2 linked regions of the Schizosaccharomyces pombe genome follow. The gene in region 2 interacts genetically with the main gene of each other region. Each region holds a gene or a part of one and is shown on either strand. Other genes may lie near its edges. The genes, in order: dli1 and klp2.

Region 1 (3,928 bases), 3.0 Mb from region 2:
GTCTTTTTCCCAGCCAGTTACTTCCAGGAAATTTACACGATCAGTTTTATTCACCCACTATTGAAAAGATTAGTGATGAATTAGAAAGGAAATTAGTTTTTCCGGTAATGAGTGAATGCAAGGATTATGCGGAGGGACCGAAATTCTTACAGACACGGTATATTTCAAAGCAGTCGGAAATCGAGTCGAAAAAGCCACTCCCAAAGGCCAATCGATTATCGCTTAAGGTAGATAAATCATTGTTCCTGCTCCTCACCAGTGGTTATATGCTGGCATCTAGGAAAACGGCTTTTATTGAGCCTTTGTTTTTAGTCTACTATCTTAAGACATTGGGTATTCTCTTTTTTGAAACTTTTACCTCAAAGATAGAAGGGGCAAACAGAATGCTCCGGGAATATGTTGACGTTTTAAATGAGGTCTGCCGACTTCGATCAGACACTCCAGAAGTTAATGAAGGGCTTTTGTTTAGTTTTTTGGCTATCTTAGAAATATCTTCTGGGCGTACTTTAGCTAATGAGTTTGGGAAGCATTTGCTCTTCTTTGAGGCGTATACTAAGTTTCTTTTTGAAAGCCCTGATCAAGGTGAGAAAGTTAAGTCACTCTCAGCAGCTGTTTTAATTCTATTTGAAAATAAACTTTCAGAATTCAGAACGCTCGCATTGGAAAAATTACTGGATGACTCAGCTCCTTTGGTTCCAGAGCGATTTGGATTAGCCGGACTTTAATAGTTCTTTATGGTCATGATTTAAAAGAAAAAAAATATTATTTATGAGGTTGAAATTTTGACAGAAACTCATTAATGCATTTTAATTAAATAATATGATTTTGTAATAATAATGAATGTCTTTAGGCCAATTACAATTATTGAATTAAGTCCTTCCACAAACTTGATTTTATGGAGGATTTATTTAATTTGTTTGAAGAATACGTTTTAATCTCGCTATACTTGTTCTGTAGTTCTTGCAAAAAAACTTGGTGCGATTTGTAGGGTATATCTCCATCCGATATTTTTGAGGAATGACAGTTCAACATCGATATACTCTTATCAAATAAACCAAGTAATAAACTTATGTCAAGAGTATCGTAAAAATTTTTAGCGGTTTGTTTAAAAAGGGCGATATTAAATTCATGATTGACACTCTGTATTTTAGAGATAGTGTCCCAACAAGGAGGTATAAACATAGTTTCTGATTGAATTGTTTGAGCATGAAAATCTCGAGGTTTAAACTTTTGAAACATAAAATTATACTTCATTAAAACGTTGAGATTATTCCAGCTTGTTGGGTCCGCTGAGATAGAAACAATTGAGGACGTTGGTACGGATAAAAGTGTCGTTCGCAAAAACTGTAAAATAAATTCCTGTGAATTATCGACTGAGGTATGCAAGCCTAAAGCATGCTTCAACTACAAATTAGTAAATGTGCAAGTATTCAAGGGTATCTTACCTGTTTCAGAACAACCGTAAAGTTTAGTAGAATACCACTACTTATATCCAATGTTGTCGAGTTCTTATCCAGTAAAGCTACCAGTTTTTTGTTCTCTAAAGCAGATCAGTTAACAGGATAATTGAGTTCAATCAATCTTACGAGACTCTTCAAATCGATTCCTCACAGTTTCCTCGGTATTTATAAGAATTGTTTTCATATTCCGAAGTATATTTAATAACTTCTCCGGAAAGGAAACTAACGCGGAAAGAGTCTGCGCTACGACCATTATTATCCATAACAGATCCAATCCATGCTCGTTTAAAGCTTGACTAACAAGAAAATTGAATAGTCCACCAGTTAAATGTGAAATTTGCCAAAAGTTTACTAGCAGCATGAGATAATTGGTTAATCGTACTAATCGCGTACCTTTCACTTGATCCTTTGTAAAGAAACACTTATAAGCAATTCCTCGAAAATTTACAGTTTCACAATCATTTGATAATTCTGAATAACTTCCCCCGCTAAAACATCCGTGCTCGTTCATACATTGTATAATATCGAGGTCTTCACCTATTCATGATAAATAAGAATTTCAATATGGAGCGTACCTATGCATATAATACTACATGCTTTCGGTTCCTTCTTTTTGAGATCGTTTAGCAACTTTTCCAATAATTCATCCATATGCAATTATTTATGTAGTTCACTAATAAAAGTGTTCAGGCACAAGTCAAAGACAAACGATTAAACTTTAGCTAAAAGGGATCATTTAGATGACGAAGTTCAGATCTCAAGTTTATTATAATACAATGAAAATCGTTATATTTTTACAAGTACTAGTATGCTAGACATATTCTTTAATAATGTATCTGCCCGAGGTTAAAGCAAAATCTTCATAATATATAGAATTAAAATAAATGAATAAAATTCCCACTCAACTTTGTTTTAAATTGGTGAAGTAATAATGCCAACAGCTTTTGAGTCACTTTCACGATAAATTTGCAAAAGCGACCGATAAGAGAATCCCGCAAATTGAAGTCAATTAAGATTTAAATATAATTTTTTATGAATTTAAAAACAGGAAAATCTTATGAGAAAATTCCACTGGTTTACGCAGACACGTATTTTTTATAAACTGATACTAAAATAGGGCCTCTATAAAATAATTAGTTTTATTATGAAAGATTAATAATTAGTTCGTTCTAAATTTTACAATTAAATAAAAATTTAAAATTATCAGACTTTTAATATGCTTTTGCTCCGAATATTATATGAATATATGACAGTAAATCTACAGGCTTGTTATTTTATCGAACTTATTTTTTTAAAAAATTACCAGATAAAATAAAATATTAAAACATTCATTTTTATCATTTAATGTTATTTACGTTCACTTTTAAGCAAATTGTTAGGTCTTCTTTTACAACAACGTTAATTCATAAAACTGTATTTTTTATATTTCAAGAAAGTGTGAATTTATATCAATTATTGCAAAAGATTATGTGCTGTTGAATGAACCACATAGTTGATCGTATTGTTAACCAAGCAGCAATTGTTGCTTAGTTCCTAGTCGTTCCGGTGCTTGAAAACTAAAAATAATTAATTCAATGTGAGCAAACACAAAACATAAAACACCATTAGCGCATAGAGGGTATAGGTGATCAATTATTCAGAGCAGTTTTAGCTTCTTCGGCTTTACCATTTATTCCGCCTCAAGCTTTGCTTACAGTGTTATGTTCAGACACTCAAAACTTGACTTTACATCGAGATGTAGAGATGAATGCGTCCTATTTTTTGTATTTCAAAAATTACAGCAAAAACACTTGTGTAGTAGATTATGAGATATTATTATTATTATACCGTATTCAGCATTTTGTACTTATTTTACGAAGTATTTCTTAAATTCCACAGTATTATAATTCATCATTGCTTCGTGTACTTTAGCTACAGCCTTTCTTGTCTTACCACATTTAGTAAAGCTAGTACACCACCACATTAACAATCCCAGGCTATTATTTGTATGGTAAAAAGTGAAATTTCCAAAAAATAAATGCTTTACATATGGAATGGATAGACTTGTTTTTTCATATTGTCCTTCAAGCAAGGTGACTGCCAGATTCTTGGTTAAATTTTGCTTCATTGAATATCAAGATAGTCAAGAACCATGCATTTGCACCATTCAATTGTTTTCAGGGAATGAATCAGGATCTTTAATGCAAAAATGTTTCGTTTCAAAAATACCAAATAAGAGTCTACTTCCTACTGAGCTTTCTAAGATATCAACTCATGAGTGGCTCGACTTTGGGGTTACCGTTTCTGAGCTCTCATTGAACGCAAAATTTGTAGTGTCTGCCTGGAAACCATCCTTTAATGATGAGGAAGTCTATGAATTTGTGGGCTGTACAACGTATCGACTTTTTGATGAAAATAATTTACTAAGGCAAGGTCTCCAAAAAATACCTTTACAGACTTCAAAAGAAATAAAGAAGTACTCGCCAACA
Region 2 (3,928 bases):
TCTTGAAGGCCGGTGGAAATGCAGTGGATGCGGCTATCGCATCGGGAATTTGCATTGGAGCTGTCAATTCATTTTCAAGTGGTATTGGCGGTGGTGGATTTATGTTAATACGCCATCCAAATGGTACAGCACATTCCTTGAACTTTCGCGAGACTGCTCCAGCGGGTGCCAGCAAAAATATGTTTCATGGTAACTCTACCCTGTCACAGGTAGGTGGTCTTTCCGTTGCCGTCCCTGGTGAAATTGCTGGCTACGAGCGTGCTTGGAAAATGTATGGCTCTCTACCTTGGCATAAGTTGTTTGAACCAACCATACGTCTTATGAGAGATGGAATGCCAATGCCCAAGGAACTTGCGTCTCGCATCAGACGACCCGAGTTTTCCTATTTCAAGACTCATCCAGATTGGTCTAAAATATTTGCTCCAGAAGGTGTTTTTTTACACGTTGGAGAAAAGTTTTATCGGCCTGCTCTAGCGTCTACCCTCGAAGAAATAGCTAAGTTTGGTCCTGAAGTGTTTTACACAGGAAAAATTGCAGAAAGGCTTGTAAAGTTTGTTCAACAGCAAGGAGGTATACTAACCATGGAGGATATGGCCAATTTTTCAGTTGTTGTGGAGGAACCTATTTATGGTAACTTCTATGATCGTGAGGTTATTACTTGTGGATCCCCTTGTAGTGGAGAGGCTTTGATTTTAGGTTTAAATGTTCTTTCAAAAGTAGATTTAAGTGAAGGTACTTCTATCCTTGGTTGTGAAATGACGGATATTGGCGTGCACCATCTAATTGAAACAATGAAATGGATGTCCGCTGGACGGACTGTATTAGCAGACCCAACTTTTTACAATAATACAGATCATGTTGAACAGTTACTTTCTTTGGAATATGCTGATGAAATTCGCAATAATATTTCTAACGAGAGGACTTTTGATTTTACTCACTACAAGGCCGAATACGATTTCCCTAACGATCACGGCACTACTCATCTTTCCGTTATCGACAAAGACAATATGGCAGTCGGACTCACAGCTTCTATCAATTTGATGTTTGGTTCACAACTTTTGGAACCTGAAACGGGTATTATACTGAATGATCACATGGACGATTTTGCTTCTCCAGGAATAGTGAATGCTTTCGGTTTGAGTCCATCGCCATACAACTTTATTGCCCCTGGTAAGCGACCACAAAGCTCCGCGGTGCCTACGATTTTGGTATATAATGGTGAAGTTGAAATGGTTCTTGGTGGTAGCGGTGGCAGCCGAATCGTGACAGCTGTGTTAGACACAATTATTAAAAAATATAAATGGGGCAAGTCATTGTTAGAATCTGTTGAGAGTCCTAGATTTCATCATCAGCTAATGCCTAATATCGTCTATATCGATGAAACTGTTGAAATTGAAGTTCTTAGAGCTTTAGAAAAGTTTGGTCATATAGTGGATTTAATCCCCGTTCAATATCCTTTCAGTGAAATTCAAGCTGTTTTCCGCACCAACGGCACATTGTACGGTTTAAGTGATAGCCGAAAACAGGCTGTTGCTGCTGCCTATTAAAATTTCACTAAATTATTAAAAAAAACTCCTTAGACGCTCACAAAATTTTCCTTTATTTGTTGTTATTAATTTATCAGGTTTATTAACTTATTCTCAATCTTTATGTGCTTTTTACTGATCTTTAGCTTGTGGCTGGGATGAGAGAAAAATATTATAAAGCATAAAACGTATGAATGATCACTGTCTACATATTTGTGCACATGATGGTGATGATTGGACCTTCGTTAGTTAGATAGATTACATTCTTTCCTAGATTTAGAAAGTTTTAGCAAAACGAAGAACAATTACATTTAACTTTCGAATTTATTCTAACCGTAACATAATATATCTTCATACTTTAAACGTAAAACAGTAAAATATTTCTTTCGATGTACGAATGGCAAATATTCCTTTACTAATTAAAAATACTTTACTGTGTTAATTAATACTAAATCATTAAATTGAATTAAAGATTCACATAATATCGGATATTTGCTTTTGACCTTCGTGGTCCATGGAATACCACCATACAAATTGTTGAATAGTGAACTTTTGATTTAAGCTTATGAAACTCAACTTCTCTAACACCTTACAATACCCACATGTTTTTGGGGAAAAGGAGAAAGTATGGAAGAAGAAGGACATAAAAGTTTAACTGTAAGAACAAATTTAAGTGTAATTTATTAATTTTTTTCCTTATAGTCGCATCTACCTCAGTCCTCGAGTTCTTTGTCGCAAAGTCGAGAAATTGCTAAAGAATTTACGTCTAATATACCTCCTCCGACTATTAAAACTAATTCATCTTCATCAAATATTCTGAAACCTCGGTTATCATTGCAAAATGAAGTTAACCAACTGAAACCTGCTAAATTTCCCAGTAAGATGTTACCACCAGGAAGCTTAGCCTCGGTTAAATCTTCTAGTCTTGCAAAAAAAGCCAGGCCTTTTACCGCGTCCTCTAATCCCAGGATGCCCAAGTCTGCACATCCCATTTCAAGTCGGTCAGTGTCTGCTTCTTCTCATTTTGGTAGACCTGCCAGTGCTGTTTCATCCAGTTTAAATAGTAGCGATGATGTGAGAAGTATGTCAGATGAAAGTATGGAATCTTATAATGATGAAAAGTCTGTTAATGCCAGCGCCTTAAGGACTACAGAAGACCGGTTGAGGAGTATGGAAATGGCTTATGCTCAATTATCGGCTAAAGTTATTCCTTCACCCTCAAAAAGACCAGCTAATTACAAATTTTACGAACAGAGAATTGCTATGCTTGAAGAATCATTAGAAGTCGAGAGGAGTCGTACATCGGAGTTACAAGAACAATTTTCAGTGGCTCTGAGAGAAAAAGCTGAGGCGGAGGCTAATAAAATCGTTTCTCAAAAGGGTATGGAGAGTTTGGAGATAATGTTAAACTCAATGAAAAGTGAAAATCATCAGCGCATGGCCATGTTGGAAGAGAACCATGCTCGGGTGATGGAGACAGCTGAGCTTCAGCATCAAGCAGAATTACAGGATTTTGCTTCCAATATTGAACAAAAAGCAAATAGTTTAATCATGGAGTACAAAAATGAATTGCAGTCTGCCGAAGAACACTTTTCACACAAGATTAAAGAGCTTACTTCAGAAAATGAACTCAAAATTTCCAGACTACAAGAGGAAAAGGATTCTTTATTAAAGAAAGTTCAGGAGGGCGCTTCGCTGGCTATGCAACGTGTCCAAAATAAGCATGATCTAGAAAAAAAAAGACTGCAATCTGCAATTCAACCGCTTCAGGAAGAAAATAATTCTTTGAAACAGCAGATTGAACAATTACAAAGAGAACTTGCTTCTGAAACAGTTGTTAAGGAAAATCTGAAATCTTCGTTGGACCAACAAAGTGCCAACGTTCAGAAGCTTGAATCTACAAATCGGGCTTTAGAAAGCACTATCAAAACACTTGAAGAAGATGTTTATACTATGAAAAATAAGATTATAGAACTAGAAGGCATTTTAAAATCTGCCAATGTTGAGAGAGACGGTTTAGTTGAGAAACTCATAGCTGAGGAAACTCTGAGAAGAAAACTCCATAATACCATTCAAGAACTTAAAGGTAACATACGCGTTTTTTGTCGAGTGCGACCTCCCCTTGGCGATGGAGAATCAGCACAAATAGCTTTTCCTGATCAAAATTCCGAAGCTAGTACTATAGAGATTGTTGCTCAAGCCCCAGGGTCTTCGTTAACAGGGAACGGGATAAAACAGTATGCCTTTAATTTCGATCGTGTATTTTCCCCTGAAACGACTAATGAGGATGTATTTAATGAACTGTCACAGTTAATTCAAAGTGCTATGGACGGATATAATGTTTGTATATTCGCTTACGGTCAAACAGGTTCAGGCAAGACGCATACGATGTCTTCAAATAC

What was found.
Region 1: of klp2 (region 2) and dli1, changing one enhances a phenotype caused by changing the other (phenotypic enhancement), as found in Schizosaccharomyces pombe (one study listed by BioGRID).

The regions. Positions count from the first base shown.
Region 1 is NC_003424.3:4,736,744-4,740,671, forward strand, and holds dli1 (meiotic dynein intermediate light chain Dli1/Dil1), read right to left. Parts: upstream 2,155-3,928; 5' UTR 2,112-2,154; coding exon 2,036-2,111; exon of another isoform or gene 1,998-2,035; coding exon 1,854-1,997; exon of another isoform or gene 1,812-1,853; coding exon 1,587-1,811; exon of another isoform or gene 1,541-1,586; coding exon 1,446-1,540; exon of another isoform or gene 1,405-1,445; coding exon 862-1,404; 3' UTR 738-861; downstream 1-737. Other genes in the region: TTT co-chaperone complex LRR repeat subunit Tel2, read left to right, coding at 1-725; phosphatidylinositol 3-kinase Pik3, read left to right, coding at 3,494-3,928. UniProt on the Schizosaccharomyces pombe protein: Component of the cytoplasmic dynein which acts as a motor for the intracellular retrograde motility of vesicles and organelles along microtubules. Promotes oscillatory nuclear movement and efficient pairing of homologous centromeres during meiotic prophase.
Region 2 is NC_003424.3:1,719,842-1,723,769, forward strand, and holds the start of klp2 (kinesin-14 family minus-end directed microtubule motor Klp2), read left to right. Parts: upstream 1-2,112; 5' UTR 2,113-2,153; coding exon 2,154-2,183; exon of another isoform or gene 2,184-2,228; coding exon 2,229-3,928. Other genes in the region: gamma-glutamyltranspeptidase Ggt1, read left to right, coding at 1-1,547. UniProt on the Schizosaccharomyces pombe protein: Minus end-directed microtubule (MT) motor that is involved in spindle microtubule shortening, kinetochore capture, and polarization of cytoplasmic microtubules. During mitosis, promotes spindle microtubule shortening by depolymerization.